Linked DNA regions of Oryzias latipes. The protein of the gene in region 1 interacts with the protein of each later gene in a pairwise test. Links are inferred from orthologs where the notes say so. Each region holds a gene or a part of one and is shown in the gene's direction. Other genes may lie near its edges.

Region 1 (4,394 bases):
TGTTAACAGTGGTATATAAAAATTTTTTTTACTAATACTAGCTCACCTCAGTTAAAAAATCCAAACATAATGACAAAGCTTAAAAATATTTTTCAATTTTATTCAAAACTTCAGAATTTAGAGTGATAAGAGCCACGTGTGGCTCCAGCCTAAGACCTTGCTTTTTAGGTTTTCAAATACTAAAGAAATTAGAGGGCAAATCGGTCCTTTCTGCATCAGCTTAGTAAAGGTCAAGTCAGTGCGTCAAAAGGATACAGTCACCGAGAGACACGTGATCCTTGAAGATGGTGTACCTATTAAAACAAGAACACATTTTCTAAGTAAAGAAGCCAAAAAGGGCAATGTTCATTGTGATGCAAAGAAGAAAAAGGCAAAGGAAGGCAAAGTTACCATTTCTTTAGTACAATTTTGTCATATCTTGTTCCCGTCTGTGCTGCAATTAGTTTCTTCAGGTCTCCAATTGTGTCCTCTGAGCTGTGCAAGGATGTTGAGGAGCAATTTGGTGACGTGGAAAACCCTTCAAAACAAACACTTCCAGCTTTCATGTCCTGAATGTTTTCAGTCTTTAGATTTTAAATAGAGCTGCATGATGGTGCAATGGGGAAGGCCCTGGTTCCAAACCCTGCTGGGACCCTTCTGTGTGGAGTTTGCTTGTTGCAGAGAAACCCCATGCACTCCGGCTTCCTCCCACAGTCGAAAATACATGATTCATAGGTTACCTGGTTATTCTAATGTAGGCCCAAATGGTTATTCTAATGAACCCCAAATGGGTTCATAAGGAAAGGGTCCATCCATAGCACGGTTACTGTGCTATGGATGGACCATAGCACAGTAACCCCCCCCCCCCTTAACTAATCAGAACCAGCATGTTGCAGTGCAGTATTAACAGCCAAAACATCTTTAGCAGATCAGCAAATCAAATGTGTTCAGAAGGATACTTGCACTTGACCCGGACTTTCTTCCCAAGACGATCGTTGCAAATCACCTCAATCATCGTGTACTGTGAAAAAAAGAGGAGCTAGTAAGCTGAAATATTGGAGTTATGAACAGGAACGACATTAATCGTTCACACCACTAACATTAAGTCAAAAGAATGTGTAATTCATTTTGCGTCAACAGCAGAAACTAAATTGACGATGAAATTCGACCAGCCATGATTTTTTTAGCTAACCCGTTAGCTTGTGCACACAACTCTTTTAAATATATAAAACATAAATTAGATGGCGCCTATTAAGATCAACTTAAGGTTTCAAAAATGTTGCCAGACGTGTTAAAAAGATCAAAAAGTGTAAAACATACGTTAAATGTAGCCCAAGATTGATGGATTTTCTTCACTAGTTGAAACCTTCTGGAAAGCTCTCGGTGCTCATCACCGTAGAATCGATGTCGCGTGTTATTGTCCTCTTAACCAATTAGATAGTAAGAAATATGATTGACAAGAGTTGAAGACCAATAGTAGGACGGACAAGCCGTTTGGGGGCGGGCCAAACTCAGAAAACAACTTTTGCCGTAAACCGACTGTCGTACCTGCTGAGCCGTAGCCGTGTCGCATCGTTTGAACGTTGAATTCTAACTTGATAACGTTGCAGCAGATAACATGGCAGACGAGGAGAATTTACCGTCGGGATGGGAGAAAAGAATGAGCCGTAGTTCAGGTAAATATACATAAGACGGGGGAGGCTGAATGTATGAGCTCAACTGCAGCCCACGAGAAGTTGATTTAGCTTATAGCTAGCCCGTGCATCGTGGTAAGCGAGGCTTTGTGAACTTGTTTCAGGTGAGGCTGTCCTGCTAATGCATGCATCGGGGTTACCGACACGGTTTCTATCAGGAAAAGTGCCGCTGGGAAAATACGGTTATGCTACGGTTTGCTTTATAACTAGCTTTTCCCCCACTTTTTTTTCTAATGGAGATGTTCTGCAGGGCCGCCGTTGCATGACGTCACCTGGAATTTGCGCAGACGCAGCTTAGACCTGATGTCTTGAAAGTATTTTGTGAATATATACGCACAGTAAAACTGACAATTTGGGGAATATTTTGTAAACAAGATCACTTTACATTTTTTTCATATATAGGTAATTATTTAACTTTGAGAAATCTACTAAACTTTCAGATCCCCCCCAAAATGTGATTTATTTCTGCAGATACGTCTGTTTATCTGATTTCTCTTCTTCTTTTACAGAAAATCTGTTTGGGTAGATGATTGCCTTGTAAAAACTTTAGGTGTTTTTTTTTCTGTTTTATTTGTGTGTTTCTTTTCAATGGAGTAAAAAGGAAGGATTGCAAAGGAACAGCTTTTTGCAGACCTATAAACTAAATTGAACACTGTCAGCAGTTGATGCATTGGTTTTATTCAAAACCATGCAACTTCATGACCAACTACTATGAAACAACAATAATACCGATACGGGGAATTGTGAGTGCTTTTGCAGTTTTAGTGGGTAAGGTCATGTAAACTGTAATTTGATTTTTGTGTCTTCTAATGTCTTGGATCATTCCAAAGGTGCTGATCAAACTGCTTTCTTTGCTGTTTGTAGGCAAGGTGTACTACTTTAACCACATCACTAATGCCAGCCAGTGGGAACGTCCTGTGGGAGATGGCCGTGGAGAGCCAGATAAGGTGGACTTCATTTTGTGTGTTTTATTAGCAATACATTTAGGATTGAAATCATAATAAATTCACTAAAGAAGTATTTGTAGAGCTTGTGATAGTGATGTACCGGTAATGATTAGTTTTAATGACATTCATATTAGGGCTGCACCATATGAGGAAAACTCGCCATATTAGTGATCAATATTGCGACGACGATAAAACATTCATGAACAAATAGCAAAACGACTAAAAACATCATTTCCATTTTACTGCAACAGTTTAATTTAAATAAGAGTCAACATAACTTAAATTATACTCCAAATGACCCTCGTCTACATAGGAGGCGAACGTCTAACCTAAGAAAAGCTTCAAAATAAATAAATAAAAGAGCCCCATCTGATTGGTCAATTTATTTGATTCGTTAAATACTCCAATATTTGTTTTAGCACATTTAAAGTAAACATTTATTGCTATTTTTGACGACTTTTGCAATATGCGAATTGCACAGCTTGAAATTGCGATAATGATACATTTGCGTTTTGTTGTGCAGGTCTAATTCATATGATCACTTGTGGTTTCCAGTACGATTTTATGGTCAATATTGGTTCAATCTAACTAACACTTGGTTGTTATTATGTTATAGTAAAGTAAACCGTCCCTTAAGCCAAATGGTATTTCCCGATATGGAAATAATATATTTATTTTAATTTGAAACAGTTTTATAATGTAATAGATCGATTCAATTAACAAATGCCTCAGACAGATTGTTCTGCTTGGATCGTAGGAATATAAATCGATTGATTGATCAGGTCAATTAGTCATTACACCCCTGCACAGAAACATTTTATAACACTTTCTAACAAATAGGTGATGATGTATTGTGTATCTTTTTGTGTTTCCTCCTTTCTCTCTCTCAGGTGCGATGCTCCCACCTCCTAGTAAAACATAATCAGTCTCGACGTCCTTCTTCCTGGAGGGAACAAAATATAACACGAACTAAAGAAGAGGCTATAGAGCTTATTCAGAGTAAGTAAGGCAGAGGACAGAAACACCAGATCTGTTTCAAATCTCTACTTAATCTGTCTTTTTTTTGGTTCTGTTTTCTAGAGTACATAGACGAAATCAAATCTGGGCATGAGTCTTTTGAATCTCTAGCCTCTCAGTTCAGCGACTGCAGCTCAGCTAAGAACGGTGGAGATCTGGGACTGTTTGCCAGAGGTACCAACATCATAATGGGAATATTGGGTTTTCTTAGTTTTAGTTCTTCAGCTTTTATGTAGTTATAAGGTAGTATTGTCCTAATATTTACAGTTTTTTAAGTAAAAATGCTTTCTAATTTTAGTTAAAAAATGCTTAATAATTAACTCTGTTTATAAGGTTTCCTCTCCAGCAAAAGCCTCATAAACTTTTTTACTCTGTCTATTTGTTGGTCTCTCAACATTGCTTTGTTGCATTTGCCAGGACAATTCTTATCACTTACTCTGGCACGGGTTGTCTTTTCTGTTGAATCAACCCACAAATGCCAAACTGAAGAGAAATTACACATAATGCTTATATTATACGTATTAGAAAACATGCAATTTAGTTTTAGTCTTCCTAAAATACCCAATTTAGTCTAAGTTGGCTTACGTCTGCATGTTTGCATTCATGATCTACATTTAACTCAAACCTCATCACCCACCTGATTAAAAAAAAAAGATAATGACTAGTAGCACTAACAACTGTAAAGTTTATTAAACATAACAATGTGTCTACCGTATTTTCCGGACTATAAGTCGCCCTTTTTTTCATAGTTTGGCAA
Region 2 (3,618 bases), on another chromosome or scaffold:
TCCCTCAGTCTCAATCTGCCATGCCTGTATTTTCTGCTCTCACCGAAAAGGCAGCACCTCCGGTGCAGGGAAGGGATCATATTGATCACAGTGATGCTAAAGTGCTGGAGCCAGACTCTCCTCAACTGCCAGGGAAGTCAATACTCCCGTCAGCTCCTTCCTGGGCAAACACGCCACCTTCCCCCAAAAAAGGTGATGAGGATTTAGAATCGGGCATCAGCTGCACTAGTGCCATGACTCCATTGGCTAAACCAGAGCCGGTAGCTCCATCTTCCCAACCAAGATCATTTGGACGTAAGCACGCCAGAGGTCGACGGAGAATAACTCATTCAGGTGTGAGGATACGGCAACAGTTACGTTTAGAGAGGGAGGAGGAAAAGGATGAGGAAAGAGCCACACCTGCCTCACAAATGTTGGACGTGACTCCCAGCAAGACTGAGCTATACTCAGATCACACTGATCTACCACATCAGGACTCCATTGTAAGTCAGACTTCCAAAATAGTGACAGATGGTTTTCGTTCAAGAATGTGCACCCGCTCGTTTAATGCAACAGATGTGCAAACCAAAACTGAACTCAACTTGAAGAGAAAGCCCGGCCCAAAGGCGGGTTCAAAACCTGGACCAAAGCCAGGAATAAAACCTGGGATGAAGCCAGGGCCTAAGCCTGGACAAAAGTCCATTTCAAAACCAGGACCTAAACCTGGACCAAAACCTTTACCAAATGAAACAGAAATACCGCTAAAAATTGACTCTGTTGTTAAACGTAAACCAGGACCCAAACCAGGTTCAAAGCTCAGATCAAAGCCTGTTTCAAAATCTGTTACAAAAACAGTCCCAAAACCTGGACCTAAACTGACTCCTAAGCCTGGACTCAAGCTTGAGGATGCTTTGACACCAATAGATATTCCCTCTATTAAAGGTGTAGTAGGTCGGCCCAAAGGCTCCATAACTAAAGCAAAAGTAGTGCAACAGGAAGTCACAGTTGAAGCTGTTGCAGGGCAACAAAGTAGAGGTAGAAAAAGCCTTAAAACCTCAATACCCCAACTGAACCAGGATACTAAACCAGCGCAAGCAGACAGCCAAGTACAACCTGAGGCAAAGGCAGTAGAAAATGAGAGTAAGAACATGGTCTTGAGATCCAGAAAACCCCCAAAAGACAAACTGGAAAATGACAAAAAGAAAGTCACACAAGGAGACACCCATACATTATTAAAAATTAAAGTCAGGGATGTTTCTCCAGTAATAGAAGACAATATTGATGTAGAACTAACTCCAACTACTGGTTCTGACATGGTTAAAACACCAGATGCTTCTGACACACCTGCACCACCTTCACCATCAGATTTCCTCCTGCAATCTCAGAAAAAGACCTCCCCACCACTAAATGTAAATCAGCGTAAATCTACCCCAGAGACACCCATCAAGAAAAAGAGGGGTCCAAAGCCCAAACCAAAAATTGCACCACCTCAAACAGAAACACAGGAAGAGGTTGACCCAACACTCACAGAAAAAAATGTGCAAGGTCCCAGAAGAAAGCGCGGCCCACCCAAGAAGACCTCCACAGTCACCCTCATAACCAAAGACATTAGTGTCACTGACGTCGTGGGTGATGTGGCAGCAAATCCTCATCAGTGCCCTACCAAAACAAAAGTTCTCCCACCACGTAAAGGCAGGGGTCAAAAATATGAGGCTATGGTACAGAAGATTACTTCGCCAAGCTCCAAGAAACACATGCCAACACCTCAGCCAGACAGCATTCTAATGGATGATGCCGCAAACAAAGTGTTGTCTGAGAATGTTCTAAAGGAAAGTGAAAGTCCAGTTCAGACAAACAATACTGAGATGTTAGAACCTGGGAAAGAGGGGTCAAAGCAGCAGAAAGCATCAGTCATTAAGGAAGAGATGACACAGGAAAGAGAAAATCAGGAAATGACTGAGGAGAAGTTAACAGAAGGGTTAAGACACAGACAGAAGGATGAGGTATCAAATAAGACAGAGAAGAAAGAGGAACACTTTAAAGTAGACACACAGCAGGATATCACAGAGTATAATGCTTTGGGTTCAACAGACACCCACTTAGATGTAGGAGGTTTAGGTGAGTTGACACACCAGGCATCGGAAAGTGTAATCACTGCTGCCCTTAAATCCACTAGAGCCAAAAGGAAGAGATGGGCAATGGTAGAGAGTGCAGATGTTTCAGTTGTAGCCTTAGAAGCCGGAAGCCTAATAGTCACAACCCCCAGGTTAGCAAAACAGAGGGCCATCAAAAACAACCACGAAATGCACCTTAAACAAAGAAGGAAGAAGAGAAAAGATCAGGAGTCCACAGAGAAAAGTGATACAGCTGAAGAAACCAACACTGAAGGGATAAAACAAGAAGAATCAGCAGATGAGAAAGTGACCCCTATGGAAACAACAACACCGCTGTCAGTTAGCCAGGATGAGATTCTAGAAAACCCCCAGTTTATCAAAACCGAAATCGTTCAAAAACCTCGAAGAGGACGAAAACCATCAGCACACCCGACTAAAAGAAAAAGAAGCAAAACCCCAATAAAACAGTTACCTGTCAAGCTGCTGAAAGTTCATAAAAAGCCAGGCCCAAAACCTGGCATGAAGGATGCTATTGAGGTAATTGAGGCAGTTGTTAGAGCTGCTGGTTGCGAACAGGCTAAAAAAGAAGAGAGAGAAATAGAAGAAAGGACAAGATTGGAAAGGGAGAATCCAGACAAGGAGGACACGGGCATCATGGGTCCTGTGGTGACTGCAACGGAGAAACTGACAGAGATCATTTCTGTGAAAAGAATCAGGCGCAAACCGATCTATCAAAACTCAAAGCTGTCTTTTTGTCCCTACGTACGAATCAACAACTCCAGGGACTTTTCATCCTGGTGTGCCATAGTCAACAAGCCTGACGACGCGGTGGTATTTCAGAGGCGGAGAAAAAAGGGCATTCTTAGAATGAGGAATCCTTTCACTGTGGCTAAGGTGACGCCACACACTGCCGCCATGATACAGGGGCCTATGGTCAATACAGATATATCTGGTAGGAGTCTTACATGTTGTCTTTGTGGAAAGCCAGCAAATTACAAAGACCTCGGGGATTTGTGTGGACCATACTACGCAGAAGATAGTGTTCCGCGTAAAGTTTTGACCATCACACACACAGAATCCTTCAGAGAAGAGTCAAACACAACTTGTGGCAATGACTGTAGCACTGCTGAAAAACCAGGTGCTTCGGAGAACGACGCCGAGGTCAACGTGGACAAAGAAGGAAACGCAGAAGCATCATCTCAAGAGCCCAGCAGCAGCAGGCATCATCACTGGCGCTATCGAAGAGCAGAGAGACCTGAAAGGTCATGTCGGGAAGGCGCTCCACGAAGATTAACGCTTCGAGAGAGGTTCAGGAAAATGAAGCAGCTTCAGAATGTCAGCAAAGGGGCTTCAGGGGACCAAGAGGGAACCAACAGCATCTTCCAACGGCTGCGAATGGAAGCAGAGGCCAGTGAGCACTGGGCTCATGAAAACTGTGCCATTTGGACCAAGGGGGTAATTATGGTAGCTGGGAGACTGTATGGACTGAAGGAGGCTGCCAACAGCTCAGCACAAACGGTACGTC
Region 3 (4,365 bases), on another chromosome or scaffold:
GTGCAATTTCTTGATTGTGATTGGCTAAGTGACGTTTTACACCATTGTAAACACATGGCAAACCCTGTCATGCGACCCATCTTTGACACTTTGTAGCTCATTTCTAAAATGTTAACTGTAAATGACAGTGATAGCAACCATTTCCAGGACAAGTGGGAAGGGGCATATTTTTCAGTAAAATAGGAAACAACTATGTCTGCCTCTTATGCCAAGACACCGTGGCTGTTTCAAAAGACTATCATGAGGGACTACCAGGCAAGACATAGTAACTACAACAAGCCGACTGGGACTGAACGGTGTGCACAACTTGCAGTAATTTTTGCAAATATGTATTTAAATGTGTTTGTTTTCTATGTGAAGAAATGAAAAGTATGCTATTACAAAAATGTTCATTAAATATTTCACTTGCATTTAATGTTACTAAAATAGTTAATGGATTGTCAGGCTGAATAAATGGCCCTCAAATATTTTCACATCACCAAATCTGGCTCTCTTTGCTAAAAGTTTGCTATAGACCATGTATTTGTTATGTAGGAAGTAGCCTATACTAACTGAATACTTCTGCATACTAAATTGGAAAACTATATGTTTATAATATAGTATATAAAAAGCAAACTTCAAGTATACTGCCTCACTTTTAGGATGGACTATACTTGGGCTAAAACTTTAGTATGTTAATGTTTAGGGTTAGGATGTAGTGGGTTGCTAAAATGGCCCTTTTTGTGTATCTACTCTACATAATCAAATGGCTTTTCTTTATTTGTTTGAAATATATATATATTAAAAAAATTGATATAGGGTAAAAGTTCTTGTTAGAAAGAAGTACAGTGGATCATTATCCAAATGCAATGTTGCGGTGGGGTCAAGTACTTATATCGAAAAATGTCACAAAATAATTTGTTTTTGCTTAAAACGTTGGGAATCTTTGCTGAGCCACCCTGGGTACGAATTGAAGATAAAGCGGTTCAACTGTGTCTAAGATTCTGTAGAACCAACTCGTTCTTGTTCCAGTGTCCCACGTTTTTCTGAGACACCCCATTCGCATTCGAATCATGTTCTAAGTCTAAATAGTTTGGGTTTTTGATAGGAGAAAACAACCTCCGGGTGAGTTTGGCACGTGCATTGACTCTTGACTTTTCCTACTTTCCGCGCGGGCTCCTGAAGGCAGCGGAGGAGCTGCAGTCACAAAGCCCCTTTGTCATTTTTCCGTTTCTCCCCTCCTCCCCCCCTCAGGTCGGGGCAACTTTCTTTTCTCTCCTTATTGCTGTGTCATGGAGGAACGTAGCATTAGTACAAGCCGAGTTGTTTCAGCTAAACGAGCACATCAAAGCACTTTTATTAAACTTGTTGTAGAGAATGCACATATTTATCTTTAGAAACCACTCCCTCCATGTTGGTCTTAATAAACTAATAAATAAGTGCGTCGTAACATAAGGTTTGGAGTTCCAGTGAGCTGCCCCCTTGTGTGTCTGTTTTAAAAGAATGTGACTGATTAGATTAGGAAACGGGAGTAGGACGGCTCTCCGTGCTCCCTTACAAAAAAGGGGAAGAAAAAAGTTTTTTTCATCCAGTTTCCATTAGATGTAGGAGGACGTTTGGGGAGGGAGGGGGCTGGAAATTCCTGTCATGCTGCAGGGCCAGCCTGGAGGGAGCTTCCTGCCACTTTTTTTTTTTTTAAACGTTCTTGTTCTTCCACGGCGGAGAATGAAATTTGATGGGAAGGAGCGAGACGTCGTGTCCGCGCAGAAACTCATGGAGACCTCCGGAGACTTCCAGGACTGAGCCGCCTCAGGTTTCCTGCGGAGGAGTTTGGTTGAAGAGAAGGGGGGCACTGCTTCTGTCCAACGGGAAAGGGAAACGGCATGTTTAGGTGTTTTCAAGGATCGGGGAAGTAGAAAAGAAGCTCCGCGGAAAGGTAAAAACCTAAGTATGTGTGCGCCGGGAGAGCGTTCACACTGATGTGAACGTCTCGCACTCCTGTTCCGGGTCGTAAAACTGCATTCCTCGGGAGTCCGCTCGCTTTCTTTGTAATCATCTACTAGAGACCAAACTGCCGCGAACAGCTTAAACATGACAGCCATCTCTGTTCACTCGCTGCCTCTTCAGGGATGCTTTAAATGTTTTTAGATTTTCTGGAACTTTAATGAATCAGAAGAAACTTTTAGGCCAGATGTTCAAAGTAAGACTTTGCATGTTTTTATGGGCCTAAAGCTCTAATGGTGGCACATTCAAAGTTTGATTGGACATCTTAGGTTTTACTTACCCTTTCACCCTTTAAAGACGCTATAGGATTGATAATATTTGGTTTTGGATTGTTAATATTTAGAAAGTCTGTCATTAAATACTAAAAAAGTTCCTCCAACATCCAGCTGAGCATCTTTATGACATTTGCTCCACAAGGTGAGGAAAGGACAGATGCATGTAGGGTAAAAATATGGAAGCCCAACAGAGAACACACATTTAAGGTTGTATATCAATTTCAAATTTACATAAAATAAATTGTGCTTCAATAAACAAGCGTTTATGGAGCTGTAAACCCTTTCTTCAAAGTAATTTACTTTTTTTGCACACTTTAAAACTTCTCCAGCGATTGGAAATATTAGAGGCCTTGTTGGTTTCTTCAAGTGTTAGGGTGTCGAGATCATTTTAAAAACAAAATTAATGAAAGGGAGAATTCTTATTTTTATTTTATTCTTATCTTTATTTATTTATTTAAAAACAACTTTATACAAGTGGAATGGGGAAGTTTACTCATCAAATGACTCAACAACACAAGGGAGATTAGTGATCTGTGAGAAACGCAGTACACATTTTTGCCAAATCATGCTTTATTAAGTTCATATGAAATACTAGCCGGGTGTTCCGTTTCGTTCTTCATGGCTAGAGTCTGGATTTTCTTATCCCTTGTACCCCTGGTGGAACCCACCTGGTTCTCCAGTAGAGGGGGCAGGGGCGTCAGAAAAACGAGCAGGACACCTGTTTTCAAGGACTGGGATTGGACGTGCAGTGCCGTGGAGCTAACAATGACTGTGCATGGATCTAATAGAGAGGCGGTGTGGTCACATGACCCAATGGTTTCCATGAGGTTAATTTGACTCTAGTTTTCAACTCTCATTGATATTAGGATAATAGGAGGCATTAGGGTCTAAGGGTAGGAATGCCCAGTTTAGTTTAGTCTGTTTAGTTTTGTTAACGATTGCCTGTTGTATTTTACGACTGATTTCATGTTCTGATACAATTACCGGTATAAAGCCTGTTGAGACAACTATTTTGTATTATTGGGCTATATAGATAAAATTCAATTGAATTAAATCTTCCATTGGAGCCATTGCTTAAGTACACGAAAAGCTGACCTTCAATAGAGTTGTGACTTTGGAAGCACAATAGAAAGCATGAACAGAAAATGTTTGGTGTAGAGGTAGAGTAACAGAACTGGTTGCAGTTTGGGTTCCTGCTTTGTCTGCCCATGTGTCAAAGTGTCCTTGGACAAGACACTGAACCCCACATTGCTCCAGGAGGTTTGTCTAGTGCCTTGCATTGCAGCTCTGTGACCATGAATGTGTATGCACGGGTTGGCAGGACTTGTGACTGTATGGTCCTTTGGGCCTTAATCGGATTAAATCAAAAATTCAACTTGGAAGTTTTATTCATTTTAGTTTTCTTTATTTAACAAAATAAACAAGCCTGCTAGTTTGGGCTGCAAGACATCGTCTCAACAAATGCAATTCAGATTTGCAGTTAAAGAGGATTCTGGCTGTTTGCTACATATGATCAAAAAACTAAAAAACAATGGCCCAACTATTAAGCATGGTGGAGGTGTGATGATTTAAGTTTGATTGACACCTGTCCTTTCCATCTTGTCATTATTGGATTGACTGTGAAAGTTCCTATATAGCAGCCTCTTTTAGAGTCCATTGTGAGGTCATCTGTCTAACAGCTAAAGCTTGCCTGAAAGTAGGTCATGAAACTGGCCATTGACCAAAGGTTATGAAGGTTAAGTTGTTTAATGTTGTCATAGCAACCAATGAGACATGAGAGCTAACGGCTGATCTGTGAGCTCTGGCTGAGTTAAGAAAGTGCTCCTCTTAGCCAGACTGCAGATTCCCGTTGCTTTTTTTCTTTGCATCCTTTGCTTTTGTATCTGCTGGTACCAATGTACCCAATTATGCCGTCATTGCATCTACAGTAGGAAAGAAGAATGTCACAAAACAATAAAATGTTCAATGTCTTCATTAGTTATCAGTAATACAATTAAATAAATTAGATTTATGCGGTTCAATATAATCTTTTAACCATGTTTTTTTAAATGAATATACTTTGGCAACTCACATGCTGAAATGTATTACTGCAATTGTTTAAGGAACT
Region 4 (4,143 bases), on another chromosome or scaffold:
AGTACAACTGGTGTTTATGTCAGCCTTAAATTTAGTTAAATAATGCTTTGCTGGATAAAATCTGTGTAGGAGTTTAAAAGAGATTTCTTTGACTTTATTTGTTAAGAAGTATTTTTGTGGTAAAGACCAGACTTTTTTCCAATCAATGTTAGAAGTGAAATTAGCCTGGTAGTTCTTCTGATTTCCCCGTGTTTTTTTCCCCAGGCAAAAAAAATAATATATAATTTTTTTATAATTTAATTTTCTGCCCCCCACAAGGTATTTCAGGAAATTCTAGTCTCGAAAAGTTTGGCTTCTCCTGCAGTTTTTCTTTTGGTAAGAATTTAAAACGAGCCATTAAAGGGCAAACTGTGTGCTAATTAGGAGCTATAACTTTAGAATACTTTCAACTAGTAATGTCAAATCAAACGTTTAGCAATTCAGTGCAAACAGGTTTTTTCAGTTGTCGGGTGGAAAATAAATGTGTTTTTAGCTAGGTGTTGCATTTTTGTTTTATTTATTTTTAAATATATTTAATTTACTTTAACCATATACTTTTCTTTGGCTTCTGGTATTTAAAAAATATCATTATTAAAAGGGTTTACATTTTTGAGGGAATTGAAAATTTTGTAGAAACGCTAACCTGTTCGGCAGCAGTTTCCGGTTTGTTTTGCAAAAATTCTTAAAGTTATGTTTAACTATTTAGGCTTATTTAGAGCACGTTTCTCTCATTTTCTTGAACAATGATTTAAGTTTTATTTATTTTTTTAAATTTGCTTTATTTGGCTTCAGCTTAACTTTTTCATATTTACTTTTTCCATGAAATTATTTTAATCGTAATTATTTTGTAAACTATGATGTTTATTTTAATTATATACATGTATTATTTTCAGCTGTGAATATATGCATTCATAATATTATACTTACTTTGTTTTCAACCCCATTATTTAGTCAGCCAAGGGCTCTAATATTTCCATCCATCATTTAAAATTGAATTTTACATTTGTTGTTAAATACTAGTCAAATTATTATTTTATATTTTATCAAGAAACAATTCCCAAATAACGTGTAGAAACTATAATTATTTTTACGATACAATCATACACAAGCCGAGACTGACAGCAGTGTTGCACCTGTTACCATGCTTGGAAGTTCGCACTAAATTTATCATTTTATTCGTGACGCTGAGGGCAAAAACAAAGAATCTGACGTTAAGTTTGGTATTAATTAAAAAGTAAAACACGGAAGGTTATTGCGTGAAGTAACCGCTACCATGGGAACGAACATTTGTGCGCAGTTGTCACATCTTAACGTTCCCCCCCTAGTGAGACGGTGGCGTTTTACACCGGCAGACCTCTGACTGTCACCACAGTTTTAGGACTGAACGAGTGTTCAGGGTGACGACAGCGCTTCTGTGGCGTCAACCAGCAGCATACATAAATACAAAGGAGAAAAGTAGCTGTTTCCCCGTTAAATGGCGGCCACGACGAAGTTACGTTAGCTGAAGCTACAAGCTAACACCTCCTCAAGCTAGCCAGTAGGTAAGGTTAGCCGGGGTAGCTACAGTTAGCTGGAGAGTCTGTTCAGCCCGAGCTGTGTGCAATCACTTGTTAAATCGGTCGTGGATTGTGTTTTGACAATTGATGTAAATAGCACGGCGGTTTTGCACCATATGATCTAACATCGCTAGTGTTTTGTGGCAAAATGTCCACGACTTCGTTGGATAAAGAATTACAAGAGAGGCTGAGAGAAGCATCTGCTATCGGGGATCTGGACGAAGTGCGCTCGTTAGTGGAGAGTGGAGTAAACGTCAATTCCCAAAACGAAATCAATGGATGGTAAGTATTACGAAAATGTTTAATCTGACCAAAAATGAGTCCCCAGTGTTGTTTTACGATCAGCAATTATCACGTGTCCTTGATGTAACGAGGATTAAAAATGCTCACTGTTATCCTATTACACAAAGCAGAGCTTGTTAAACCGCCAACATTGCGACTTTTTCCTTTGCTTATCAAATTGTGTTTTCACTATCAGCTTCTGTCTGATTGTCCAGGACTCTAACTTCCAGAATTGTTGTCTTTATAATCAGTGTTCCTTAAGTCCCACTCCAGTTATATTTCAATCTTTTGTAAAAAAGTTCAGAGTGGTCTTTTAATTATGATTTATAGGCAAAATCCAAAAACCTGTTGTGCTCTAGGCCATAGTTTCTGCAGAGCGGAAATTAGAAAAAAATCACCTCTGCTGATATCCCATCATCCCTTTGTTTACACTTTCTCCCTTTAGCTTACAGCCCACACCTAACATTAGTGGTGCAACAAAAACGTCAAAAACACAATTAACACGATTTTCTTTGGAGTGGGTCTTTCAAGTGAAAATATGTTTATGCTATGGGCCACATCTCATGTCTAAATGCTTTTTCTTTCATTGTTTTCTTTAGGACATGCCTGCACTGGGCTTGCAAGAGGAACCATAAGCATGTAGTGACCTATTTACTAAGTTGTGGGGCAGACAAAGAAGTCCTCACGGCTAAAGATGAGCTGGCGTCTCAACTAACATCCAAACCAGAGATCAAGCGACTGTTAGGCGGTAAAGTTCTTCTAATTACTTTTTTTATTCCCCAGGATATGATATCCACTCTGTGACAGATGAGACGTCAGTTAAAAAATTGTATCTTATAGAATACATTTGTCTTTGGTTAATACACTCCAAAGTTGAGCTATAGGGTTTGTCTTTCTATAGTATTTTTCAGCAGTAAAATGATATCTACATGTATAAATGATATTTACATGTGGAAGGAAAAACTTCAGTTAGTTGCAAAAATATTTGCAAGTCCACAACATTTATGTACATATATATATTTAAAAAAAAAAGGTAAACCTGTAGAAATCTAATTTTTCCACTTGTAAAAATATTTTCCAGGTGCTCAGAAAAGTCTTAATCTTGTGTTTGGTTCACAAAATTCTTCACGCTCAAGTTACGTCCTCATACTTTTGACGCGAGTTTTGCAGATCAACCAGTCAGCACCTTTCTTTCCAATCGGTGTACCAGCTCTGCAAAAATGTTGTATTTCTTCATTCATACGTTTTTTTTCTTACAATTTTCATTATTAAAACCATAATTAAAAATAAAAGTCAATACTAGAAATGCGTTTTCATTTTCAAAATGAAGCTGCATTTGTTGACTCAAAATTATAAAATGAAAAAGCAATCCGCCAAACCGCTTTTTCATTTTCTTCTTCTACATCGCTTATTCTGTCACTTAAAACGCTGGGGCGATGGCTTCAGTGCTCGCTGTTCTACTGCGTTGTTGGTCCTACCAGCTAAAGTTCAGCATGGCAAAATCTGTGCTAGAGGGAGGCTGCAGCTGTCCTCAGACGGCAAAATTAGCGGGAAACAGCAGGAGATGATTTCTAAATGTTCTTTAACTATTGTTACGATTATTATTAAGGACCTGTTCGCTCATGCGGCCAGTGCTTTATTCTTGGCTACAAGGACCGGGAAGAAAGGTTAGCATTAGGCTAAGATGTGCCAACAACAACATTTAGCTGTGATGAACTTAAACTCCTTGCGGGCGATGCCGCGATGTGTCTCTTGGATGTAAATTTGTGGGAATAACATCAGCCTTTATTTTGTCTTGACAACACTGGAACCACAAATTCACATGATTGTTTACACGGTTTCTCAGGACTGCGCAGACTGACCGCGGTCCGAAGCCTCCTCCGGACTTGCTTGGTGTTTGCAGGCCGGGGAGGGGGCTTTGTTATGGTGTGCGCTCCGTCCAAACACGAAGCTAGTCCGGATGAAGCTTCGGACTGCAGCCAGACGGACTGCGGTCCGAGGCTTCCGGACCACAGAAGGCGGAAATGCTGCTACGCCGTCCGGAGAAACCGTGTAAACCATCAGGAGCGCACACCGTAACAAATTCCCCTTCCCTGCCTGCAACCACCAAACTAGTTTGTAGTTTTGTGTTAATTGGAGCAAAACTGTAAAAATTCCAGGTTTTGATTAACAAAATAAATCAACACAAAGGTTGATGTTCACAACTCAACCTACTGAGAATAAGGTGAGATTCAGTTAAATTTAGTCTGCAGTGTTGGAAAAATTATTATTGTTATAAATGCAATTTTGCAAGTGGCCAAAACTTTTTAAACATTTAAAATCGTTT
Region 5 (3,618 bases), on another chromosome or scaffold:
ACTTAATTGCATTTTTCAAAGACTTTGAATGTCATGTATTTTATTTTGTCTCGCTTTGGCTGTAGGAAGATTTTTGGGGATTGGAAGATTTAATTTAGATCCCTCCAAATTTTCCAACATTTCTAATTCCTTATCTACATCTCAGATTAGGGTTTTTCCCCTCAGTCTTTTCTAACGTCTGTATGCTTGTGTGTGTTTGTGTTCCCAGCAACACCTGCAGGAGTTTTATAAGAAACAGCAGGAGCAGCTTCACCTGCAGCTCCTCCAGCAGCAGCAGCACCCTGGCAAACAGGTCAAAGAGGTATGCAGCATCATGACAGACACAACAAAGACACACAACAGTCTGTGCCTGAAACTCCAGTCACAACTGCCCCTCAGAGGGTTGATAAGGGGTGTCTGCAGGCAAAAAACGGGCAAAACTGTGATGCTCATAGGGCAAACCATGAACTTTTTTTTGTTTTTTGATTTTTTACAGATGACAGGTCCTAACAAACACTTTAACAGCACACAGGGGTGAAGTAGGTAGGATGCAGGTGTGTCGTGCAGATTTCTTTTTTTTTTAACTTCCCCTGCATTTTAACCTGCAGTTAGTTTTGTGTTCAACAGATAAGTGCAGTCCCTGCGTGCAGCCTGATTTGTTAAAAATGAGATCATCCGAGCGTGTGTGCATCCTACGAGCACTTACTCGCCCAACGTGCAACCTAGATACACCGTGCAGATACTTCACGATACACCTACCACACGCACGACAATCAGACGTTCCGTTTGCGCGGCGTCCCTTAAAGTGGCCGTACGAGGTCCCTGAAAGATGACTGCGCCGCTCTCCACGATCCTTCATGGACGTGGACAACCCAGACACCTGCAGCGCCCATATGGGGTGCATGTGACTAAGGTTTCATTGGATGACTTCTGACTTCCTAAATCGCCAATTTTTTCCCTCATTCATCCGCCTGTTCAGCCTTTCTTCATTTTTGCATCAACGCAACGATTGCTAATCGTCAAATTCCATAAGACCTCTTTTGACAGCTTGTTTGTATTTTACTATTTCTATTACCGTTTTTGTAAAGTGACGATAAAATCATTCAAATGCGGTTTTTAATTAACTGGGATGAGGTTTATTGCCACTGACCTGTGCGGTTTGGTAAGCAGACCTCGTACAGTGACTCAGCTCTCCAACTTTTTCTTCCCTTGGCTGCTAAAGGAAAGCAGAATGTTTAGTCCTCGCCGCAGAAACTGCTCCAATGACTCCACAAACACAATCCTTTTATTTGTGTTTCCTCTCCTCCTCCGCGCTGCTCTTCTTCCTCCTCCAGCATCCCATCATGCCGCCGGTCTGACCTCCGGGTGCTTTTGTTTTTGTTTGATTGTGAATGGGTTTTCGGGGCCCCGGCCGCCCAACGTGGAATAGAAAATTGCTCCCCTTATTTCTCTTGAGGTGCGTTGGAGGGTTGTGTGGAGGCAAACAGCCTCTCTCCATCACTCCATTATGCAGCCTGTTTTTTCCAGTGAGTGCCCCCCACCCTCCGCCCCCCCCTTCTCTGTACATCTGCAGGTGCATCAGGCTGCCAGACCTTCAGCATAATAGCTTGTCAGGGTTCCTAAAATTCTCTCTCTAACTTTTTCCAAAGACTGGAAGAACCACTTAAACATGTTCTTGTGACATATTTCTCATATATAAAGAACATTAAGCTTAAAATTTGCATTTCTGAATATTTCTTTATTCCAATTGTTGTGAATCGGGAGCAGATGACAAAAGACTATTTGACAAAGAACCTATTCAAGCCACAAGCTCCCTGCTTCGCTCCGTTCTTACACGTCCACCTGTAGACGACGAGACCCATGTAGATCTTTGTACGCTATCAAGAGAACGTGTGAACAGATGGGTGACGGGAAGAGGGGGTGGGCTTGCTCCATGCCAGTAGTCCCGCCCACAACTGAGTGGGGAATTTCAAATGATCTGCTGTCCCTCTGCAGAAACTAAAACAGGAAGATCTGGATTAAAAGACCACTTGGAATGACTTTACAGTAAATCAAAGATGATCAGAGGGGGCTTATTTTCTTTTATTTTTAATTTTAATTATTTCTGGGTTTTGCTAAATAGTTGGTGAGACCAAACAAGGAGTTAAAAGGGAGTGGTGGGCTTTTGTTTCCTCAGAAATGTCTGATGCTACGCACACACCAGGGATGTGGTGCGTTCAAAAACGCACTGAACTTGAGTTCTTGAGCATATTTTTTGCCATTTATTGTTCACAGCGCATTGGAACGGTTGGAAGAGGCTTGGTGCGAATTGTGGAAGCGGTGCAAATCTTGCCCCAAGCTTTGCCTCTCCCAGCTCTTTTTCGATATATAAAAAACTTGGTGTCATATAAACACAAACGGCAATCAACAATTTCTCTTTTATGACCCACTTCATAGGATTGACACTATCTATACGTCAATACTAAACCGGAGTCCCTGATTGGTCAATGTTCAGCTGGTTTAGCTTTCAGCGCACGGTCATTGGATGAGCGTTTTTGAACGTAGAGCTCGAAAAGGAACTTAAAAACTTGATTCCGAGGCCGGTGTGAATGTAGCATCCCTCTGCATGTCCCCTAGTAGCACAACCCACCAGTGAGGGCGAGACACATAACTGTTGAAGGTCGAGGGCGTGGAAGGAGAATTCTAGCAGAGACATCATGCACAGCTACTGACGATTAACCAGACGGACTTGAGACTGGCCTCTCTTTGCTCTGTGCTACAGAAAACTCAGATCACAGGCTCTGCATCCACTCCAGCGCCACTGCATAGCTCCTTCTTCTCCGTCATCTCAGCTGTTAATTCCTGTGTAATTTTCCCTCCCACCTCTCCTCTGCGCTCCTCTCCTCCTCCTCCTCCTCCTCTTCCTCCTCCTCTCTATAGCAACAGCAGCAGCAGCAGCAACAGCAGCAGCTGGCCGCCCAGCAGCTCGTCTTCCAGCAGCAGCTCCTGCAGATGCAGCAGCTCCAGCAGCAGCAGCACCTGCTCAACATGCAGCGGCAGGGCCTGCTCTCGCTGCCGGGGCCCACCCCCGGCCAGGCCGCCCTGCCCGGACAGACCCTGCCCCCACCAGGTAAGCAGAGGAAGTGGAGCGTAGTTCAGCAAACAGGAGTCAGACTTCCTGTGGGGTTTTCAGCAGTTTCCCTCCATGTTTGGCCGCCGTTCTCCCGTTTTCCGCTACTCAGCATGTCTTGTTTGTGGATCTAATTTGTATGCACCTGTGTTCCTTTAGCGTTATCTTTAAGTGTGTCTGTCTCTGCCTCCCCTCATTGGTATGCTCCTTTCTCCTCCAATTTGGCCCTAACGATCCACATTAATGTTTTGGTAGGACCCTCCCCCTTCCCGCTGCTGCCTTTCTTGGTCTGATTAAGGCTGGTATTGTCTGCCTCTCTCTCTCTGTTCGCCCATATTTGTTTGTTGTTCTCCATCCTTGCTTCTATCCCCCCCCCCCCCCCCCCTTCACTGATTGTTGTTGTTGTTTACTGCTTTGACTAAAAACCGGAGTGAGAATAAAAGGAAATACTGGGTGGGGGGGAAAGGGAAGAATTCCAGCTTAATTTTCTCCTTTTTAGCCAAAGTTGTTTGCCGCCAAAATGACAAAGA
Region 6 (4,066 bases), on another chromosome or scaffold:
CTCCACTTCTGTATGTCACTCTATGTTCCTCTCTCTTCTGGAAGTAAGTGTTGACTACAGCCATTTCCATCCTCTTCGCAAAGTCCACCACCATCTGTCCCTCCAGATTCCTTTCCTTCACACCAAACCTGCCCATCACCTCCTCATCACCTCTGTTGCCCTCACCAACATGCCCATTAAAGTCTGCTCCAATAACAACTCTCTCTCCTCTGGGGATACTCTCTATGACCTCATCCAACTCACTCCAGAATCTCTCCTTCACTTCTAACTCACAGCCAACCTGTGGCGCATACCCACTGACTACATTCACCATCACCCCTTCGATTTCTAACTTTAAGCTCATCATCCTGTCTGAGACTCTTTTCACCTCTAGAACACTGTTTACAAACTCCCCCTTCAGAATCACTCCTACCCCGTTTCTCTTCCTATCAACACCATGATAGAACAGTTTGTATCCTCCTCCAATACTACGTGCCTTGCTGCCCTTCCACCTTGTCTCCTGCACACACAGTACATCTACCTTCCTTCTCTCCATCATGTCTGCCAGCTCTCTGCCTTTCCCTGTCATTGTGCCAACGTTAAGAGTCCCTATTCTCAAACCTATGTTCCTGCCTTTTCCCTTCTCTCTCTGGCCACGGGCCCTTCTGCCTCCCCTCTTTCTTCGACCAACAGTAGTCAAATTTCCACCGACACCCTGTAGGTTAACAGCATCGGTGGCGGTCGTTGTTAACCCGGGCCTCGACCGATCCGGTATGTCTAAAGTGTTGTGGATGATTCGCATGGTTATTTTGGCAATTTTTACGCCGGATGCCCTTCCTGACGCAACCCTCTCTATTTATCCGGGCTTGGGACCGGCACAGAGGCAACTGGCTTGCAACCCCTGTGGCTAGCCATTATTAACTCTGTAAAGGCCAATAAAGAATTGAAATGGAATAAATGTTTTCTCCTTAAAACTAAATTATATATTTTTATTGCTGTGGGTAAAACATATTTGTGAAATTTGGCAACATATTTATTTGAATAGTTAAAAAAATAGATTAAGTCCTCATACATCAAACCGAAGTGGTAAAAATAGTTTCCACTAAATTTGATGTTCATCATCAGCGATTCTTTTAACCACCACTCTTTGAACAGCAGGAGGCGCTCGAGCGTCCAGTCTGCTACATTTTCAGGGCCACAAAGAAGAGTTCCCAGCATGCACTTCTTCGGCGCGGAAATTTCAATGGATTTTCAATGCGAGATGAAAGTCTGAGGAGAGAGCTCACGAAGGAACAAGTCTGCCGTGTTTCGGCGTTCAACCAGCTCAGTTTTTGTAAGTACGTTTGTGAAAAGCTGCGTTTAAATTCACCGCGTTGTTTGGAACAAAATAGTGGGTTTGAAAAACTAATACTTGTAAAACTTCTACTGAACTACTAGAAGTTCTATAAATACACTTTTCTATGTACTGGAGGCTGACATGGCGTTTAATAACAAATAAATATTCACGTCCATCTTATTTTTTTCTTTAAATTATGTGGGCTGTTTGCGGAGAGGTGTGAAAGATGAGTGGATCAGGTGACAGCAGTGGGACGATCAAAGCAGCTGATCCCTTTGAGGATCTGTGGCGGCAGCTGGGAGAGTGTCATCATCACGTGACTGGAGGTAAACGACTGCTGGTTATCGGGCAAGGAGTGACACTGATAAACAAGGAATGGATCAGGAAACAAGTATGGATTTTCTTTAGAAAAGACAATTCTAGCTGTATAAAAACACAAGAACAGATTAAGCAGTGTAGTTTTTTTAATTTTTATTTATTTTATTGACCAATTGCAACATCCAGAACAAAAAAAAATGCAACAATTATGTACATATAATGTACATTACAATTCTGAATACAGAAAAAACGTGTTACATCCTTAGGAAGATTTTAATTATTAACAATAATTACAAAAAGATTAAGCAGTGTAGTTTTTTTTTAGATTAGCAGTGTAGTGCAGATCCGGCTTTTACCGGCCATGACGTCATCTGCGTGAGCCTGAAATCTCCTGCATTTTTAAAACAAAGTTAAAAAACAAACACTAAATTTTATTTTCAGTGTTATTACAATATGTTTTCAATAAAAATAATTATTAGTGTACAAATAAATGGGTGATTTTTACCTGTACTTTAGCAGAAATGTACACTTCACCTATAAAACTGTAGAAGAAGCATTGTTTGCTTTTGTTCAGAGCTAAAGGAAGGATAAACTAAAACACACGGAGCCAGAATTGAATCAAAAGGTAACAAGTCCTTAGTAAATGAGTAAAAATGTGATGCTGGTTTGTTTGCATTCAATCAATGGCATAAAAATGCAAACAAAAAAAAAAGGAATTGGCAACTGAAAGCATTACATGCAATTTGGTAATTTACTGCAGAAACTCTTAAACAAAATAAGAATAAATAATAATAACTTTTTCTATGGGAATAACTTTTTCCCATAGAGCTGGAAGCAAAGGTGAGCCGGCTGAAAAAGGACCGCTGCCTGTAAGTCCTGATGGATTTTTGTTTTAAGGAACGCCAATAATCATAACGCATTCCTTCATAGTTAAGGAATGGCAGTCAAAGTGACGTTTGTTTGTTGCAGAGATGCTCAGAGACTTGAGGTGTTTTACAACCGTAACCAGCATCTGAAGGAGGAGAACAAAACCCTGCACGACACCATCCACCTCCTAGAGGAAAGGTAACATCCTCCAGCGTTTGTCACACTCTGGACCAACAGAACCGGCTACGTTTGATCATCCGGTTTTGCTCAATCAACAGAGGGTGCTCCGGTCTGGGTGTTGGGGTCACCAAAGGGGGGGTAGTTTGCTAAAGAGAGGCAAGAAAAACAAAAGTTTTGTTGTTCTTTGTTTTTCAGGCTCAGAGCAGGAGAGTGCGACCGTTGTGTTGTCTTGGAGGAAAAGCTGAAGAGCAGCCTGGATCAGAATCTCAGACTTCTTGATGAACTGAGTGAGTCCCAGAAGGAGCTCCTCTCAAAAATAAAAACACGTGCACCATCTTTTTAAAATAAAATCAAAAGAGGATGTGGGAGGTGGATCGGCTTTCAGTTGCAGCCAATCATGTCTGGAGGGGAAACGGTTGCTGCGGCTTTTCCCTTTTTGTTTGATGAAGCGCTGATGGAGGTGGAGGACAGCCGTCTTGGAATGATGGTGCTGAGAAACTTTTAACTTCTTATTCAGGAATTGAAAGAAACAACCTGCAGGATGAAAACAGGAAACTCCGTGCTGAGATACAAAAGCTGAAAGCATCGTGGTGAGTTTTCTGTAAATCTTCTTCCTTTCAGGGAAAATGTTGCCTCCAACCTTCCCAAAACGTACCTAAATTTGCATTTACCTAGTACCCAGTCAAAATGACTTTTGGGCATTTGGGGCCAAAGTCTCTTATGGGTCCAAAAAAAAGTAACAAACCAAAACACACGTGTGTGGAAGATGTAGATTTTGAATGGCGTTAGCGTAGCAAGTTTGCCAAAATGGCGTTTCCCTGTTGCTCACATAGTTTTTACTGGAATATTGTGAAAATACACGAGTCGACAGCTCAGGCTGAACAAAAACAATGTCTGATTGAACATATTAGGAATGCGAGGGTGGTTAACAAAAAACCTCTGTTGCTAAGGAAATCCCAAAAAATTATTTTTGCCTGTTCTTCTAAACGTGACTCAAACATGTTCGTCACCCCCAGGCGACAAAAAATTAAAATGGTTGCTATGGAGGCAAAACCAACCGAAGGCTCCTTTTTTTTTTTTAGTTTTCATGAATTTGTTATGTGGCTCTGACTGGGGTGGCAGAGGGAGAGTAAGGGGGGGGGGGGGGGGGTAGCAGCCGCTCAGCCATCATAGGATGGCGAGGGCAGAGGCGTGTAGCGTCTGCTGCTCACGCCTTCATTTTATTTCAATATCTAAAAATGTTTTCCTCATTAATGGTAACATTTAAATAAATAAAAATATTTTCTCTAAAATTTATCACAGAAACGTGTCTTATTTTTTTTCTCTTCATTTTTGGTTTCTAAACATCTTCCTGTATTTTCACTTTGCTGAACGTTGCGTTCTCTT
Region 7 (4,320 bases), on another chromosome or scaffold:
TCTTTACCTTCGATCATTGAACAATATTTGTCAATAACAAAGTTAAAAAAAAGTCTTATTTTATGGTTCGTTTCCCTCACATATTTAGGTTAAATAAACTTTTATGTGTTTATTTTAAAACACCGACAGTTGAACTGAAGCTCCGTTTTCTTAGAAGGGTCTGCAGAGCTGCCGCACGCCGCGCTCGCCGCCACCCCTCCCACCCGTGTGAGTGACAGCCACAGGTTTTAGCAGCAGGTCCACCTATAAGGTCATCATCACATGCCCTCCTTCACCTCCCCTGTGCTCCGGTCCTTACCCCCGTGGCCCCCTGTGTCATTTCACGTGTCGTCACGCGAGGAGCTGGAAAAACAAATGGCGTCGGGGGCCATCGGGGGTCGTCTGACGGTTGTGTCGCTGCAGTCGAAGCCACTTTTCAAAGAATGCATTGAGGTGATTTCAAAGAGTAAAACCTGGTGGACGTGTCCACGTTCACACGCCGAAACCTTTCAGGCTTTGGTGCAGCGTCTGTAAGGCGGGTGCAGCCCACAGCCCGGACGGATTGAAAACACGTGTGCGGCCATACCTGCTCAGTCCAGGCAGATATACGACCCGCACTAACCCGCTAATAGCCTTTATTTGTAAGATAAACAGTAGAAGAGTTTGACGCTCACTCAGTGAAGGTGCCTTTCCTCCGCTGCCTTCAGAAGGCCTGGGGGGGCGCGGGGAGCAGAGTTACCGCCTGTCTCCGCTGAGCTATCTGTTAAAGTCATTTTCTCTCAAAGAGGAATTAATTTCCTTTCTCAGGCTGTGGGCCGGCCAAGTCCTTCCCCAGAGCGGGCAGTTATTGTGAGCGCTCCCCCCGTAAAACGTCTCGGAGCTGCGAGTTCTCTGAAACCGCCATCAATTTTATTTGTTTTCTATCTATTCTTTGAGGCTAATCTGTAAAGTAAATGCCTTTGATTTACGCAGAGCGCTGAGAGGAAGGGCGGAGAGTTTGGTTCACAGGAAGGATTTTTCTGTTTCTGTCATTTCTGATCCAACGGCAGCTCCGGTTGGTTTCTGTTCTGCCCGGACTTTCAGGACAAAACTAACGTCTCACAAAGTTTTATTTTTTTTATTTCTCAAAGAATTGACAACAGTAGTTCTGAGAAGGAACTTTAATTTTCCAAAAGCTAACACGACTTTTAATAAAAACAAACAAAGCCATATTTAGAATTGGTCTGGTTCATTGTTTTCCCTCCTTGTCTTCTTCTTTGGAAGTCAAAAACATTATTAAGTCAAACGTTTTTGACTTAAAAATGCCTAAAACGGCTTTATGAGCAGCAGATCCTTAGCGAAGTCTTTTACTAAAAGATATTTTTATTAAAATATTTGGAAAAATGTCAGCAGCAGAAGATGTAAAAATTATTTGAGAAAAACAGTCCCCCCCCCCCAACTGGGTTTGTTAAAGACATCATAAAGGCAGAACAAACATTCAAACTATTAACATTTACAAATTTGGTTTTATTTATTAAACCATAATAGGCGTTTCATAAGAAAAACAGGGAAAACTCAACAGCATCGAGTCGTTTTTTTGAATACAACCACAAAAAAAGAACCAACTAGAAAACAAAAACCACGGAAATGTTTCGGGACATTTTGGAACCAACAGCATGGCATTACAGGAGCGTTGAGGAGTCTAAAGTCTGAATTCAGTTTTTCTATGAACCACCTCTGTGATTTCTGACTCTGGGTCGTCCGAGACGCAGCACTTCAGTCTGAAATTTAAAAAAACAAAAACCGAAGTGAGTTAAGCGTTTTCTAACGTTCTCCATGGATAAACGCTGATGTGGAGCACAGATTGACGTCGAAAGTAATAAAAGAATAACACCCGTTTCTCCATATGGTTTTCTATAAATTTAATTTAAAAGATTGGAAATTTACAGCTTTGTTTTCATAAAAGTAACTGAAGGGCAGGGGAAGATAGAAGATAAAAATATATCTCAGCATCATCTGCATATGTGGACTTTTTCTTTTTGTTATTTTGAAATGTTAATAAAACAGTGAAACCGGAAGAGGACCTGCATCCGGATTGTTGAGGCGCACCACAGGTCACGGATGCTGACCTGAAACAGGTCCATGCTTAGAAACAGGGATCCATCTGTCAGATAAGTCCTCAGCCGGGTTTAAGGGTGGCGCTTTGCGTACAGACGCCCCACCCCGGCTGGTAGACAGGACTTTGGCGACTTTGCTTTATGAAAAGCAGCTGTGAGGAAACGGCTGGTTCGAGTCCGGAGTCAACAGTCAGAGAGGCCGCTCTAAATCCAGATTCAGTCCTGTCAGATTCACCCCTGAACTTTTTGAATCTGTTTTGTTTCTAACGGAAAACTCCCAGACTGAACTCTCAAGAGATTTCAATAAAAGTGGTACTTCAAGACTTTTAGTTTGTAAAAGCTCAAGATAAATTCATGCACTGGAAAAAATGTTCTTCTAGAAAGAAACTAGAAAACTTTGTTCTTAGTAGGTTGGGTTGTTCTGCCTTAGAGACTACATTAGGCCTGAAATGATCTATAAACACTAAATTTGATGTGTTGTCTTTGTTATGAGAGCAAAATACATTTTAAGCTAACTTTGTCTTGACAAATGTGTGTTTTATGAGTCAAATGAGACTTTCCAGTTTTCTTTAAATCAAGCAAATAGTAAAAACTTAATTTCATTAGATATGTTTTCTGGAGACTCAAGATATTCGGGTTTTATTGTATTTAAATAAATTGTTACAGGAAAGTTACTAGTTAGTTAGTTTTGTCTTGAATTGAGCGTACACTAAACTTAAAGCCGTGTTTTGTGGTTTTGCTGTAGTTCGTGGAGTTTTTGTGCTGCTGTTCTGACCGGGACCGACCCATTTTCCTCCCCGGGTCGGGATGCAGCAGACGTGGATGTCGGGGGTTTGATCCAAAGCAGAAGTTCTGAATGTTTTTGAAACATACTTCATCTCAAAAACTTTTTTTTTTTTTAATCAAAGCCGAACTTTTCTGGTGTTTCAGGTGCAGCAGGTCATGACTTAAATGTTGCAGCTTCCTTTCGGGACGGCGCTGGACGTGTTTGGCACGCCAGGCCCGCTCCGGACTCCATCGTCCCTCAGAACAATGCTCGCAGGAAGCGGCTAATGGAGACAACAAGCATCTCCGCCAGCATCCACACAGTTCTTTTTTAAAGAGGTCAAACCTGACAAACAGAGGGGGGCGGGGCAAATTAACCCTTGACACCTCCCAACCTCTGCATGGTGTCCCACTTTCCCCCCGTGTGACCTCCTGCCAGCTCCGCCCACGAACCATCAGGATCTCAAAGAACGCCGAGAGGCCAGCGGAGGTCAGGTCCAAAGTGAAGCGCCGTCTTTCCGTCCTCGGCCGCTTTAACGCCACACGTTTATTGTGCTTTGCGTTTTGGAGGGTGATGGCGTGTATGTGGTCAGGAGCGCGTTTGCAGTCTAGGACCCAGCCTCCCTCTCACGTTACACCCTATTTATAACATCCCCTCAGCCGGCTCCCCTCGTTCTGCAGTTCCTCCGAACCTCCTCGTGCTTCCAGGCTGGAGCTCCAGCCCCCTGCTCCTCCTGACATCTGAGAGGCTCAGCTGCAGCCCGTCCCGGGATAACTGTTTACCCTGTGAAGCCTGGCAAGCGGCCGCACGCTCCGGATTACCGCAGGACGCCACATTTCAGAGCTTTGACTGCAGGAGAAGTTTGGGGAGAGTACGGGGAAAAGGAGCAGCATCTGGGATTTACGTTTGTTTTTCCTCTGGCTGGTTGAGCTCCTTCACGTCCAACCCCCCTCTGTCTCCTCTGGTGGGGCGCCATGGATCACGCTCTGTTCAGCTGCCTGCGGAGCCCCCACGCCCCGCCGCAGGCCCTCCATTCCGCCTTCACCCAGTCTCCCCTGACTCTGCACGGACGCTCGGACCACATCTCCTACCCCGACCTGGCCTCCTCGTCTTCCTCCTCCTCCACCTCCTCACCTTCGCCGTGCGTCATCTCCAGCTACCCGGCCGACGACGGCCTATTTCACGGGCAGCACCCCCACCACCCCCACCGTGGCCACCTGACCCCCCAGCAGCAGCATCACCCCCCGCCTCAGCACCACACCTCGTGGCACGTCCCGCCGATGCCGTCGCCTGGCGGCGGCGCGCGCCACGGCCTCTGCCACCCGCATTCACACGCACCCCACGACAGCGGGCCCGCGCCCTCTGACCTGGGCCATCCGGGTGCGCCCAGTTTGTGCGCCAGCACCCCCAGTTTGGGTGGCGGCAGCACCCCCTCGGGGGCCTCCTGTGCGCCGGCGGACTTTGGCAGGCAGACTCTGT

What was found.
Region 2: the proteins of pin1 (region 1) and rai1 interact in binary tests that used the Homo sapiens proteins (3 or more experiments, as listed by UniProt). The two-hybrid records come from large-scale screens. The link is inferred for Oryzias latipes from reciprocal best matches to the Homo sapiens genes PIN1 and RAI1.
Region 3: the proteins of pin1 (region 1) and angiomotin interact in binary tests that used the Homo sapiens proteins (3 or more experiments, as listed by UniProt). The two-hybrid records come from large-scale screens. The link is inferred for Oryzias latipes from reciprocal best matches to the Homo sapiens genes PIN1 and AMOT.
Region 4: the proteins of pin1 (region 1) and ankrd40 interact in binary tests that used the Homo sapiens proteins (3 or more experiments, as listed by UniProt). The two-hybrid records come from large-scale screens. The link is inferred for Oryzias latipes from reciprocal best matches to the Homo sapiens genes PIN1 and ANKRD40.
Region 5: the proteins of pin1 (region 1) and foxp2 interact in binary tests that used the Homo sapiens proteins (3 or more experiments, as listed by UniProt). The two-hybrid records come from large-scale screens. The link is inferred for Oryzias latipes from reciprocal best matches to the Homo sapiens genes PIN1 and FOXP2.
Region 6: the proteins of pin1 (region 1) and rbbp8 interact in binary tests that used the Homo sapiens proteins (3 or more experiments, as listed by UniProt). The two-hybrid records come from large-scale screens. The link is inferred for Oryzias latipes from reciprocal best matches to the Homo sapiens genes PIN1 and RBBP8.
Region 7: the proteins of pin1 (region 1) and meox2 interact in binary tests that used the Homo sapiens proteins (3 or more experiments, as listed by UniProt). The two-hybrid records come from large-scale screens. The link is inferred for Oryzias latipes from reciprocal best matches to the Homo sapiens genes PIN1 and MEOX2.

What each region holds. Positions count from the first base shown.
Region 1 is NC_019859.2:22,494,206-22,498,599, reverse strand, and holds the start of pin1 (peptidyl-prolyl cis-trans isomerase NIMA-interacting 1), read left to right. Parts: upstream 1-1,496; 5' UTR 1,497-1,527; coding exon of another isoform or gene 1,528-1,552; 5' UTR 1,553-1,597; coding exon 1,598-1,655; intron 1,656-2,537; coding exon 2,538-2,620; intron 2,621-3,510; coding exon 3,511-3,619; intron 3,620-3,700; coding exon 3,701-3,811; intron 3,812-4,394. Other genes in the region: ubl5 (ubiquitin-like protein 5), read right to left, coding at 256-293, 391-474, 939-1,000, 1,300-1,403, 1,528-1,552. UniProt on the Homo sapiens protein: Peptidyl-prolyl cis/trans isomerase (PPIase) that binds to and isomerizes specific phosphorylated Ser/Thr-Pro (pSer/Thr-Pro) motifs.
Region 2 is NC_019866.2:12,420,606-12,424,223, reverse strand, and holds part of rai1 (retinoic acid-induced protein 1), read left to right. Parts: coding exon 1-3,611; intron 3,612-3,618. UniProt on the Homo sapiens protein: Transcriptional regulator of the circadian clock components: CLOCK, BMAL1, BMAL2, PER1/3, CRY1/2, NR1D1/2 and RORA/C. Positively regulates the transcriptional activity of CLOCK a core component of the circadian clock.
Region 3 is NC_019872.2:12,828,710-12,833,074, reverse strand, and holds the start of angiomotin, read left to right. Parts: upstream 1-1,485; 5' UTR 1,486-1,915; intron 1,916-4,365.
Region 4 is NC_019866.2:13,503,857-13,507,999, reverse strand, and holds the start of ankrd40 (ankyrin repeat domain-containing protein 40), read left to right. Parts: upstream 1-1,250; 5' UTR 1,251-1,683; coding exon 1,684-1,817; intron 1,818-2,416; coding exon 2,417-2,565; intron 2,566-4,143.
Region 5 is NC_019881.2:5,166,094-5,169,711, reverse strand, and holds part of foxp2 (forkhead box protein P2), read left to right. Parts: intron 1-208; coding exon 209-301; intron 302-2,898; coding exon 2,899-3,088; intron 3,089-3,618. UniProt on the Homo sapiens protein: Transcriptional repressor that may play a role in the specification and differentiation of lung epithelium. May also play a role in developing neural, gastrointestinal and cardiovascular tissues.
Region 6 is NC_019878.2:11,812,876-11,816,941, forward strand, and holds the start of rbbp8 (DNA endonuclease RBBP8), read left to right. Parts: upstream 1-1,184; 5' UTR 1,185-1,312; intron 1,313-1,517; 5' UTR 1,518-1,541; coding exon 1,542-1,641; intron 1,642-2,459; coding exon 2,460-2,502; intron 2,503-2,602; coding exon 2,603-2,698; intron 2,699-2,875; coding exon 2,876-2,967; intron 2,968-3,197; coding exon 3,198-3,270; intron 3,271-4,066. UniProt on the Homo sapiens protein: Endonuclease that cooperates with the MRE11-RAD50-NBN (MRN) complex in DNA-end resection, the first step of double-strand break (DSB) repair through the homologous recombination (HR) pathway.
Region 7 is NC_019874.2:31,203,971-31,208,290, reverse strand, and holds the start of meox2 (homeobox protein MOX-2), read left to right. Parts: upstream 1-1,438; 5' UTR 1,439-3,815; coding exon 3,816-4,320. UniProt on the Homo sapiens protein: Mesodermal transcription factor that plays a key role in somitogenesis and somitogenesis and limb muscle differentiation. Required during limb development for normal appendicular muscle formation and for the normal regulation of myogenic genes.